Ovis aries: one gene and its partners. The protein of the gene in region 1 purifies or fractionates together with the protein of each later gene. This does not show direct contact. Links are inferred from orthologs where the notes say so. Each region holds a gene or a part of one and is shown in the gene's direction. Other genes may lie near its edges.

Region 1 (3,745 bases):
CGCATGAGGTGGCCAAAGTACTGGAGTTTCAGCTTTAGCATCATTCCTTCCAAAGAACACCCAGGGCTGATCTCCTTTAGAATGGACTAGTTGGATCTCCTTGCAGTCCAAGGGACTCTCAAACCCCAATTTAAGTCAGGTCCACAAAAATTATTGGTCTGGGTGAAGGGCTACGAAAATTAAGCTGTGTCCTTGCCCTGTCTGAGTTCCCAATCCAGATTGCATTCGGCAAAACAAGCGTGCTGAGCAGGGAGTTTATATGAGGGTTGGGAGCACTGGGGACACTGTGGAACAGGGACCTCACCCTGCGAGCTGCCTTATAAACTCCAGGGCAGGGTCTGGGGCTCTGTGTCACCCTCCCTAGGCTTAATGCTGAGATGGCACTCCCAGGCGGCTGACATGAAAGCAGCCTCATAAAAGGGTCAGCGTCATTAGGGTGAGGAACCAGTTGGTACTTGGAGGTCCAGAGGGGATGAAAGGCGCGGTGCGAAGACGCCCTGCGTTCCCCAGGCTTGGTTGGGCAGGGCTTCCAGGGGCCGTTGAACACTAGGAAAACTGGATTCAAAGTGTCTCTTCTTGCCTTTCGCAGGAGGCGGCTGTGGACATACTCAAAGGTCGGGAAGGTATTAGTAGGGGGGGGGCTCTTTATCTCCAGAGTCCTGGGTCACCGCGTCCGTACCCAACTCAGACTCCCGGAGCATCACCAGAGACGCTCTAGGATTGGAAGTTGTTATGGCAACGAAGCTCTCGGAATACTGAGGAAAGCCGAAGCCTAGAGAGGCGACACCCTCTTATACCCTCTTCGGCCCCCACGGGTAAAGTGGCGCCCCCTACGCACAGGAACCGTCCTTGGCCCCCCGCCCCGGCGCGGAGACCACCCTGGGCCTCCGGGGGCGGGAGGCCGCTCTGGCCCGAAGCGGAGCCTCTCGCTGGTAGACCGGCCCGAAGGAGCCCCTCTGGGCGCAGCGCCGGTGAGCTGCTCGATGCTCCGACCGGAAGTGCTCTTCACCGCCGACCTCCCACCCGGCTCTTTGGTCCCGGCGGTAAGATGGCGGCTGCCGCTGAGTGCGATGTGGTAATGGCGGCGACCGAGCCAGAGCTGCTAGACGACGAGGAGGCGAAGAGGTAACTGGGTGGCAGGGTAGGGGAAGAGGCGAGCTTCAGCTCCATGGCTCCGGGAACCCCGTCCTTGCTGTGGTGCAACCCCTGTAGAGGCGATGCCCCGCCCTCCGAGACCCCCCCCCAATCTGAGATTAAGTCCGGATGGACCCCCTGAAGGGGCGCTCTTGGAGGTTTGCCCTCCTCTCCCGCTTCCGCCTTGCTGAGGAGCTGAGGTATGGCCTTGTACCCCAAGCAGAGAGGAAGGTCGTTCTCGTTGTAGAGGCCAGGTCTCTGAGGGGATCTTGGAGGTCTTTTGCGGGGCGGAGGAGGCGGCACCGCAATAATGCTGGCTTCTTACACCGCCCCCGACTCCCTCCTTCTCTTGTTAATTTCTTCTCTTGTTAATTTCTGTACCTTGTTGTCTATCAGCCCTTTGCATCTCCAGAGCTTTGGCTGTCCTCACCCCTTTCCTTCGTAATCGTAGCCCAGCGAGCACTAGTTGGGCCCGAGGTGACTGTGTGTGTCTCTATGATCGACCTGGTGGCCCTTCGGTTACCCCAGAAGTGGAAGGTGATAGAGAAAGAAAAAGAAGGGTGAGGGGTTTTGTCTCATGCTGTACACGTCAAACCCTCTCCCTCCACCCTTCCAAAGATCCTCATTCTTCCCAGGGCTGTTTTTTAAGTTAAGCAGCAAGGAGGAGGGCAGCTGCTTGGGCTGTTGGCGCTGCTGGGCAGCCGCAGTGGCTCGAGATTGCCAGTCCGGACCAGCCAAGGGAGCTGCTGAGTGAGTGGTTTTCGAGAACACTCTGGATTTTGGCTACAGCTAAGGCAGGTTATTGGAAGTGGGGCTGGAACACAGTTGTGGATAGTCATACTTGTCCTGAATATGGAGCAGAATTAACAAAAAGCTTCTGGAAGTTTGTAGCCCTTTCTTTATAAACTGCGAGTTAATTGACTACAGTTCCACAGTCTCTTTCCCACATATTTCTTATCTTTATATCAAGGCCATTCTGGCTTCAGTCTGGGTGGTTTGAGGTGGTGGTTAGTTCATGAGATCTGAAATCAGGATTCCGAGATTTTTTTTTTTTCTTTTTAACTATCCAGATTTGAAACAAGAAGTACTCAAGGAGGCAGAATGAATAGTTAACTAGCTTAAAGGTGGTTACTGCAGCCAATTGTCTCAAGTTCCTGACTTGTTGGGAGCTGAGAACCTTGACAAAATGTAATTTGCAGGTTAGTAGGTCCCTGGGATGGACTATATGTAATTTAAAGTGAATTCAGTATAAATTTCTGATGTAGGCACTGTCCCTAATTTGAGTTTCACATCAAAGCCCCTGTGTAAACCAAATCTTTTCCCTTAAAAAAAAGTTTCAGCCTTAGAGGATATTCTATCATGCTGCTAAGTCACTTCAGTCGTGTCTGACTCTGCGACCCCATCGACAGCAGCCCACCAGGCTCTGCCGTCCCTGGGATTCCCCAGGCAAGAACACTGGAGTAGGTTGCCATTTCCTTCTCCAGTGCATGAAAATGAAAAGTGAAAGTGAAGTCGCTCAGTTGTGTCCTACCCTCAGCGACCCCATGGACTGCAGCCTTCCAGGCTCCTCCATCCATGGGATTTTCCAGGCAAGAGTACTGGAGTGGGGTGCTTTTGCCTTCTCCGATACTCTATCATAAGAAAAGGTAAAACAGGTGCTGCTGTAATGTGACCAGGTGATAGCACTTGTCTGCTCAGTCTGACCCCACAGACTATAGCTCACCAGGCTCCTCTGTCCATGGAATTTTCCAGGCAAGAATACTGGAGTGGGTTGCCATTTCCTCCTCCAGGCAGTCTTCCTGACCCAGGGATCGAACCTGCATCTCCTGCCTTGGCAGGCAGATTCTTTACCACTGCACTGCCTGGGGACCCCCATCATACACACAAAAACACGATATTTGCAGGCAGTTAACAGAATAAGGAAAGGTGTTAACTCACGTTAACTGCCTTATTTCATGGAGTTCAAGATTTCATTGAGTGTAAAATACATGGTTGTTTTAGCTACCACTAAGAAAAAAAAGGCAATGGCACCCCACTCCAGTACTCTTGCCTGGAAAATCCCATGGATGGAGGAGCCTGGTGGGCTGCAGTCCATGGGGTCGCTAAGAGTCGGACACGACTGAGCGACTTCACTTTCACTTTTCACTTTCATGCATTGGAGAAGGAAATGGCAACCCAGTCCAGTGTTCTTGCCTGGAGAATCCCAGGGACGCGGGAGCCTGGTGGGCTGCCGTCTCTGGGGTCGCACAGAGTTGGACATGACTGAAGCGACTTAGCAGCAGCAGCAGCAAGAAAAAAACAAAAAAGCATCCTTATGAAATAGACTTGTATGTTAAACATATAGATCTTCTTATTTTTATTTTTTTTAGATCTTTTTAAAACATAATAAAATATAAATGTTTACTGTCTATCACATTAAAAAAGTCAAAAGGAAAATATAATGAAATAAGCAAAAATATCACAGTTTCACTTTGTGTCTTGTAGAACATCCTTAGGGGGGTAAATATTGGACTCTGTTAGTGAGAAAAAGCCTTGTTTATATGTAGATTTCCAATGCTGAAAATGGAGTGGTGACTTAGAGGTTTTGAGGAAAATGGTTTCGCATTTTTTA
Region 2 (3,745 bases), on another chromosome or scaffold:
ACCCACTTGCCCAGTGCTCTATCTCTACTGCAGATTCTACGTGCAAACTTTTTTTTTTTTTTTTTTTGAGCTTATCTCTCTTACTAAAATGAGCACTACAAAACAGTGATTTTTTTAATTCCTCACTGCACTTCCCCAGTGCCCACATTATACCTAAAACACTACAGGGCATATTTGATTAATTAAGCTAGGTGCAAGACACTGTGTAACCTACCTGGAAGACAAGGATATAAACAGAAATAGACACAAGGCCCTTGTAGGCCCTACAAAATATGCCACGCATGTATACCAAAGTTGCTGCTGTAATTGGACACGCCTGGCCCATGGAGTAGTGACAGCAAATGAATTGGTGGACAGAAATGAGTGAGCTGTTTGCAAGCAGATCGCCAGAGAACCTTGACAACTCTTATCAGCCTGCAAGACCTGGTAGAGTTGGTGGAAGGGGGATGCCAGCAGAGGAAACATCTTGCAGGCAGGCCCAAAATAAAGGAGCCCACGTAGCTCAAGGAACAGACGAGAGTGCGCCTGGAGTTTGGTGCTGAAGGTGGAGGACAGGCAAAGAACAGATGGGAAAAGTAGGCCCGTCAGGTAGGCCCTGATCCCGTCTAAAGCTTCCAAAGGTCCAAGCAAGGGAGGGGGTTATCAAGGGAGGCATGCGATCTGCAGCGACCTAGGTTGCAATGTCTGAGAAAGGGGTCACAGAGCTGGGATGGAAGAGGACCCTGTGACAACCTATTGGCATAAAGGGCAGCTAAAACACAGGGAAGGGATGGCATTACCCAGCTGGGGGTGGGGAGGTGGGGCGAGCACAGCAGTGCCTAAGACCCTCACTCAAGCTCCCTCTAGACCCCAGACATACAGGGCCTTTGTTCCGTGAACCACGCACTGGCCCAGAATGAGATCATTTCTCTCTGACGCTCTAGCCCTTTCTGTTTCTCTGCAAGTACCTGTCCTGCCTTTCGCAAGAGGGCAACAATTTTAAGAACCGCCCAGGACGCCGCCGCCGCCCTCCAGTAGGTGATCAAGCACCTCAGTGAGGTCTTTTGTTTCCTTCATCCCTTTACCTCCGAATAACGGAGGCAGAGCCCCTTCATTAACTGCTAAAAACTCTACTGCACGAATGTGAACGATCCCACGCCACGGCCCTCTACCTGAGAGGTTCAGCGAGGGTGTGCGTCTCCACCGAGGAGATTGGCCAAGATATAATTCAGAGCCTGTCCTACCCGAGCCCCAGCGCCTTCACCATCACGCGGGATTTGGGGACACCCAGAACCCAATATTGGGACTCAGGGACGGGCCAGGGTGCGCTCCCGAGGCCGATCCAAACGGTCACCCCCACTGGCTGGGACCCTGACACTCCGGCGAAGGACCAAGACTCAATGCCGCCGGAGAGAAGCGAACTGCTTCAGACTGACTCGCCGCAGACCAACGGAAGAAGCGGCCCGGGCGGACCCACCAAACCCACACCCTCAGAAACCACCACTGCAGAGGGTGTCTGTGGCCTCGGACTCCCATAAGCCACCGATGCTGTAAAAAGCCTACCCTGCTCTTTGAAGGGCAGCAATTTAAACCTACCAGAGCAAAGTGTCTGCAACCACCGACCAATTGAAATTTTTTTAAATCTGAAGGCGGTTCTGTCACGGAGTCTGTCAGCCCAATGGGAGAGGTGGAAATTTCCAGAAAGAACAGAACCAATGGGCGCGGCCAGCGCGGCCATGATTGGCGGGATAAATGACCAATCGGTGCCGCAGAGGTCCGCCCCTCCCTCCAATCATAGAGTATATGATGGGTGGGGCTTTCAGAGCAACGTCCAGTCTCGAAACGCGGGGGAGGCAGGACTCTCCCCACTGTCCAATGAGAGAGAAGCAAAGATGATGGGCTAGACTTCGAGCCAATGGTAGGAAACCTTAGAAAGCCCCCTAGAGGAAAGCGACCAGTGAGCCGGCGAGGAAGAGGCGGGATCTGGGGGTCCCGGCAGCTTCTAGTAGGTTCCAGAAGGCGGCGCGTGCGGTTGGGAACGCGGAGCCGACGGAGTCTATTCAACGGGGTTCCGGACCGGGCTATGGAGCAGGTGAAGGGGGAGGGGCGGGCAGAGGCCCGTGGCCGCTCTGGGACCCGCCAAAGCCGGGCGGTGGGTGGAGGGGCGGGGCGGGCGCCCGATTGTTGTGGCCGGGGCGGGGGCCGGGGTCGGCGGAACCGCGGGGAGGGCGAGGGCGTGAGGGCCGCGGCGGGCGGACGGGGAGCGAGGCCTGGCGGCGGGGAGCGCGGGGTCGCCTCAGTGCCCGTCGCCAGTCAACTCGGCGAGATGGGCCGGGGGACGCACCGGTTCGGCTTAAGTCTGGCCCGCGGCGGGAAGAGGAGCCGCGGCTGGGCCCCTGAGGCCTCCCAGGACGTGGGTCCAGGCTGAGCAAGGGGATGGCGCCCGCGGCGTTCGGAGGGCTGGAGGTGGGCGAGGGGCCTTGCGAAGGGCGAGAGGGATCAGGTCAACCTCTGGGAATTCGTCTTTTGGGAGAGAGATCAGAGATTGCAAAGAGGTTGTTACCCAGGACTTGGCCCCAGTTAACTTGGAGGAACGCGGGGACGGGATTACACTGCAAGTAGCTGATGGACTCGGTAACCAGTTGCGGGGAAACCCTATTTCTCTGCATGGCAGGCCGGGGTGGAAGAGTGTTGAGTGAAGGTATGATGAGCAGCAGGCCGACTTCTTAGCTTGATTCGGGAAAGGAGAGGGTGCAACAGAAGTCCTTGGAATGAATTTCATCTCTGCCAGGGTTTTACAAATCGTATGTGCAGCACCTCCCCGTCTTCGTTTTTTCTTTGTGTGTGTGATTCAAGAATTAACCGAGGACTGGTTCTTCTAAAACGTGGGTTTTTAATTGCACGAGGAGGAGTTAGTTGCGTTAGAAAATTTAAAGTATATAGTTAAGCAGCGAGAAGTAAGTTGTTTGATTCCTTTCAGCGTTATTGGGAGGCTGAGTTTGAGGCTGTTGTGGGTTACTCTCTGTGAGTTAATTGTGTCCTCTGTGGCCTGAGGGTTGTGAGACGCCTAGAGAGGTTTATTGAATTGGAACCTGTTATTGGGCTGTAATGGTTGATTGGGGAGAGGAGGAGGAACAGCTCGGAGTTTTTATTGGTGTGATCTACAAAACGGAATCTTTTACCTTTGTATACCTATTGCTCCCTTTAGCCAAATGTGGAGCTTCTTTGCTAAATTTTTAAAAAATTAAGAGTGGAAAGTGAGAGTTTAAACATTTTGCACCCTCATGATAACTAAATTGTGTCTGGGATTGAATAGGCTGTGATATAGACAAGAAACTGGTTTTAAATTCAAGCAGAGATCTCAAACTGAAGTTATCAAAATACGGGAAAAAAATTTTGTTTTATCCCAGTTGCCCATAGTAGAAGTGTACATGCAGGTAGACCGAGTGAGTGAGCTCAGGGACTGCATGTTTACCAGGGCCATTGTGCAAGATGGCCAGGTGTGCTGAAACCCACTGTCCTGCATCCATTCAACATGTAACCTTTCTTTCCCTCTTAGATGCATGTTTCAGTTTTAGGAAATAACTCAAATTGGAGAAATTTTGAGTGTGTAAAATTGTTTTTTTAAACTTAAGTACCTTTCAAATAAAATCTCACAGTGATAAAACTTAAAATTTGACCACATACAGGCAGGCATAGAACTGGAAAAATTATGTGTCAGTTGATATAAATTTATTTTATCAGTTCAAATGCACGCACAAATTTT
Region 3 (3,745 bases), about 15 Mb from region 1:
ATGCCATGATCTTAGTTTTCTGAATGTTGAGCTTTAAGCCAACTTCTTCACTCTCCTTTTTCACTTTCATCAAGAGGCTCTTTAGTTCTTCACTTTCTGCCATAAGGGTGGTGTCATCTGCATTTCTGAGGTTATTGATATTTCTCCCAGCAATCTTGATTCCAGCTTGTGCTTCTTCCAGCCCAGCGTTTCTCATGATGTACTCGCCATAGAAGTTAAATAAGCAGGGTGACAATATACAGCCTTGACATACTCCTTTTCCTATTTGGAACCAGTCTGTTGTTCCATGTCCAGTTCTAACTGTTACTTCCTGACCTGCAAACAGGTTTCTCAAAAGGCAGGTCAGGTGGTCTGGTATTCCCATCTGTTGAAGAATTTTCCACAGTTGATTGTGATCCACACAATCAAATGCTTTGGCATAGTTAATAAAGCAGAAATAGATATTTTCCTGGAACTCTCTTGCTTTTTCGATGATCCAGCGGATGTTGGCAATTTGATCTCTGGTTCCTCTGCCTTTTCCAAAACCAGCTTGAATATCTGGAAGTTCATGTATTGCTTAAGCCTGGCTTGGAGAATTTTAAGCATCACTTTACTAGTGTGTGAGATGAGTGCAATTGTGCAGTAGTTTGAGCATTCTTTGGCACTGCCTTTCTTTGGGATTGGAATGAAAACTGTCTCCTTTTCCAGTCCTGTGGCCGCTGCTGAGTTTTCCAAATTTGCTGGCATATTGAGTGCAGCACTTTCACAGCATCATCTTTGAGGATGTGAAACAGCTCAACTGGAATTCCATTACCTCCACTAGCTTTGTTTGTAGTGATGCTTCCTATAGGAGCTTTATTCACAATAGACAAAAGCTAGAAACAACCCAAAATGCCATCAAGAAATGTCCATCAACCCATTCTTCCATCTAGAAGAGATAAAGGAATCTGCTTTGAAAAAAATGAAATATTTTGTCTTTTAGAATCTGAAATTTTTCCTGTTTGCCCCTAGACTGCTAGATTTAGAAGAGCAGTTCGTGTTAGTCTTGTTCATGACTGTAGGCTCGGAGTCTGGCGACGCGCAAGGACGCAATAAACAGTGAATGAATGAAAGAAAGCAAAGTTGCGCACGTTAATGAATCTGTGGGCACCACCTCTCCGGCCTTTTATCATTCCTTTCTTCTACAAACGCTGGCTAAGCCGGCCCGATGTGGTTCGCAGCCCGCCCTAGAAATGAGTACTGCCAGGTCCCGGCCCCGGAGGCGCGTCCCGCCAGGAGCGGCCGGAGACGACCCTGGGTGCTGGCGCCCGAGTGGAGGAAGGTCGCTGAACGCCCACAGGGCACAGTCCGGGCCCGCGCGGACCGACGGCGCGGGACAGACGGACAGCCAGGCGGACGGCGCCGCACGGATGCGAGAAGCGGGCGGCGCGGTCCAGTAGAGCTGACGGCGGCCCCGCGTCCCGACTGCGCGCAGGACGCCGGGGCGGGCCGAGGGCGGCGGAGGCGGGACAGGACAGACGAGAATCACGCGGAGGTGAGGCCGGGGGCCCGTCACGCCCCCGAGGGCAGGCCCTGAGCGCCCGCTCCGCCCTGGCCCTGTGGGGTGTGGACTCCAGCTCCGGCTCTGCTCCGCTCGCGAAGACGCGCCGCCGCCCGCTCGGGCTGTCCCGGTGAGGGGGCCGGGAAGGGGGCGCCACGGAGATCCCGGGCCCAGGAGATCTGGCTGGGACAGGAATGCGCTTGGGCTGCGGGGCCTCATGACTCAGCCGCATGCTCAGATTTCGGGGTTTCTTTCCTGGGCGGGGAACGCTTAACTTCCTCATTCCTGCCTGGACCCCTTCTTCCAGCTGGCTTGGCCTGTCTGGAGACCCGGCGGCTCCGGACCCCTTGCAACCCTCCCGGGGCCCCTTCCTCTGCCCCGCTTCGGGGCCCATCCGGGCCTGGCCGGTTGTTCCTTGGCATCCTGATTAAGGGACAGGAGGCGGGGCTCGGAAGTTTTGGATGAAGGATCAGAGATAGGGGATGGAGATTAGAGGCGAATTGGCAGGGCAGTGCGGACCGATGGATTCTAATCAAAGAGAGATTAAGTCAGCGGGAGCCGGGTGGGGGAAAGCGGGGGACCTGGGGCGACCGAGGACCGTGGGGGTGGAATGGGGGGATAGAGTTCTGCAGAGCGGATCACCGTTCTGAGGCCTCCCCATATTCCCAGGATGGCGGCAACCCCCCGGAGCCTTTTCCCCTCTGGGGATGACCTGGACTCCAGCCAGTTACAGATGGAGCCCGATGAGGTGGACACCCTGAAGGAGGGAGAGGACCCAGGTACACAGGGAGGACGGTCTCCGGGAGAGGAGGAGGAGGGCTGAGACCTCCTGGAGTCCACATTCTTCCACTTTCTTTCCCACCAGCCGACCGGATGCACCCCTTTCTGGCCATCTACCACCTCCAGCCTCTGAAAACGCACCCCTTGCTGTTTGCCCCTGGGGTCCCCGTCATAGCTCAGGTGGTGGGCACTGAAAGATACACCAGTGGATCCAAGGTGGCTGGGCTGGCCCCAAGGGAGTGGGGATGGGGAGGGCTGGCCAGAGTGAGGGGCTGCCTTCCCACCAGGGAACATCCATTCAGTTCCTCCCTCCCACAGGTGGGCACCTGCACTCTGTATTCTGTGCGCCTGACTCACGGTGACTTCACCTGGACAACCAAGAAGAAGTTCCGTCATTTCCAGGAGCTGCATCGGGACCTCCTGAGACATAAAGTCTTCATGAGTCTGCTCCCTCTGGCTCGGTGAGGGGGATAAGGCTGCCTCCTGTGTAGGACAGATGCCCCTCACCTCGAGGCAGCCGGGGGTGTCTGCCCCAGCCCCCATCGCTGCTTTCTGCCTGTCTCATCCCCAGGCCACAGCTGACCCTACCCCAGCTACTTTCCTCCCCCAACTCTGGCCACTGGGCTCCCTCTACCTCCTCTGACCCCAGTTACCAGGAAACCTTCCCTGTTCAGCTCTGCCTGTCTGTGGTTCTGGGCCAGTATCTCAGCTGGGCTGGATGCCCAAAGTGCCCTTGGCAGCCTCCCACCTTTTTCTGTCTCCATCCTCAGGGTAGGGGGCATTCCTGCTGCTACCCTCTAGGTCTCCTCGCCTTTTCCAAGTCCCCGCCTCCAGTGCTTCAGGATCCCAGGCACTGAGCCTCCAGCTCCTATTGACCCTCCCTCATCCCTTCCACAGTTTTGCTGTTGCTTCATCTCCAGCCCCAGAGGGAGACAGCAGAGAGATACCCTCTCTACCCCGAGCAGGTCCTGAGGGCTCCTCCAGACGTACCTCTAGCAAGCAGGTAGGACCAGACACCAGGTCCTCTGGGAAGGTGTTTGGGTGCAAATGGCTCTGGTCCCATCCGTCTTTCTGTCTCCCATCCCTTCACTTCAGAAATACCTGGAGAATTATCTCAACCGCCTCCTGACCATGTCTTTCTATCGCAACTACCATGCCATGGTAAGGTCAGGGGCTGGCGCCGGGTCCCTTGAGATAAATCAGGGGGCAGAGGACCAGGGTTGGTAGGATTTGAGGGACTGACAACGAGTCTCTCCTCTGAGCCTTTTTCTTCCTCTGCAGACAGAGTTCCTGGAAGTCAGTCAGCTGTCCTTTATCCCAGACCTTGGATGCAAAGGATTGTGAGTGTCTGACACTTTTCACCCACCGTCTGCCAATGTCTGAATCTCTCCCTCCCCGAGAATAGGGAAAGCAGGGCAGGGTGGGCTGGGAGTCTGATTTTATCCC

The links. Proteins that work in one complex are often made in the same cells at the same time.
Region 2: the proteins of DNAJC7 (region 1) and STIP1 purify together in Homo sapiens (affinity purification with mass spectrometry; 4 studies listed by BioGRID and IntAct, with this or other methods). This does not show direct contact. The link is inferred for Ovis aries from reciprocal best matches to the Homo sapiens genes DNAJC7 and STIP1.
Region 3: the proteins of DNAJC7 (region 1) and PLD2 purify together in Homo sapiens (affinity purification with mass spectrometry; 3 studies listed by BioGRID and IntAct, counting the BioPlex papers as one, with this or other methods). This does not show direct contact. The link is inferred for Ovis aries from reciprocal best matches to the Homo sapiens genes DNAJC7 and PLD2.

What each region holds. Positions count from the first base shown.
Region 1 is NC_056064.1:41,897,197-41,900,941, reverse strand, and holds the start of DNAJC7 (dnaJ homolog subfamily C member 7), read left to right. Parts: upstream 1-1,033; 5' UTR 1,034-1,048; coding exon 1,049-1,125; exon of another isoform or gene 1,126-2,333; intron 2,334-3,745. UniProt on the Homo sapiens protein: Acts as a co-chaperone regulating the molecular chaperones HSP70 and HSP90 in folding of steroid receptors, such as the glucocorticoid receptor and the progesterone receptor.
Region 2 is NC_056074.1:38,944,552-38,948,296, forward strand, and holds the start of STIP1 (stress-induced-phosphoprotein 1), read left to right. Parts: upstream 1-1,068; 5' UTR 1,069-1,894; coding exon 1,895-2,071; intron 2,072-3,745. UniProt on the Homo sapiens protein: Acts as a co-chaperone for HSP90AA1. Mediates the association of the molecular chaperones HSPA8/HSC70 and HSP90.
Region 3 is NC_056064.1:26,431,861-26,435,605, reverse strand, and holds the start of PLD2 (phospholipase D2), read left to right. Parts: upstream 1-1,577; 5' UTR 1,578-1,649; intron 1,650-2,188; 5' UTR 2,189-2,189; coding exon 2,190-2,298; intron 2,299-2,384; coding exon 2,385-2,515; intron 2,516-2,617; coding exon 2,618-2,760; intron 2,761-3,196; coding exon 3,197-3,302; intron 3,303-3,394; coding exon 3,395-3,460; intron 3,461-3,580; coding exon 3,581-3,639; intron 3,640-3,745.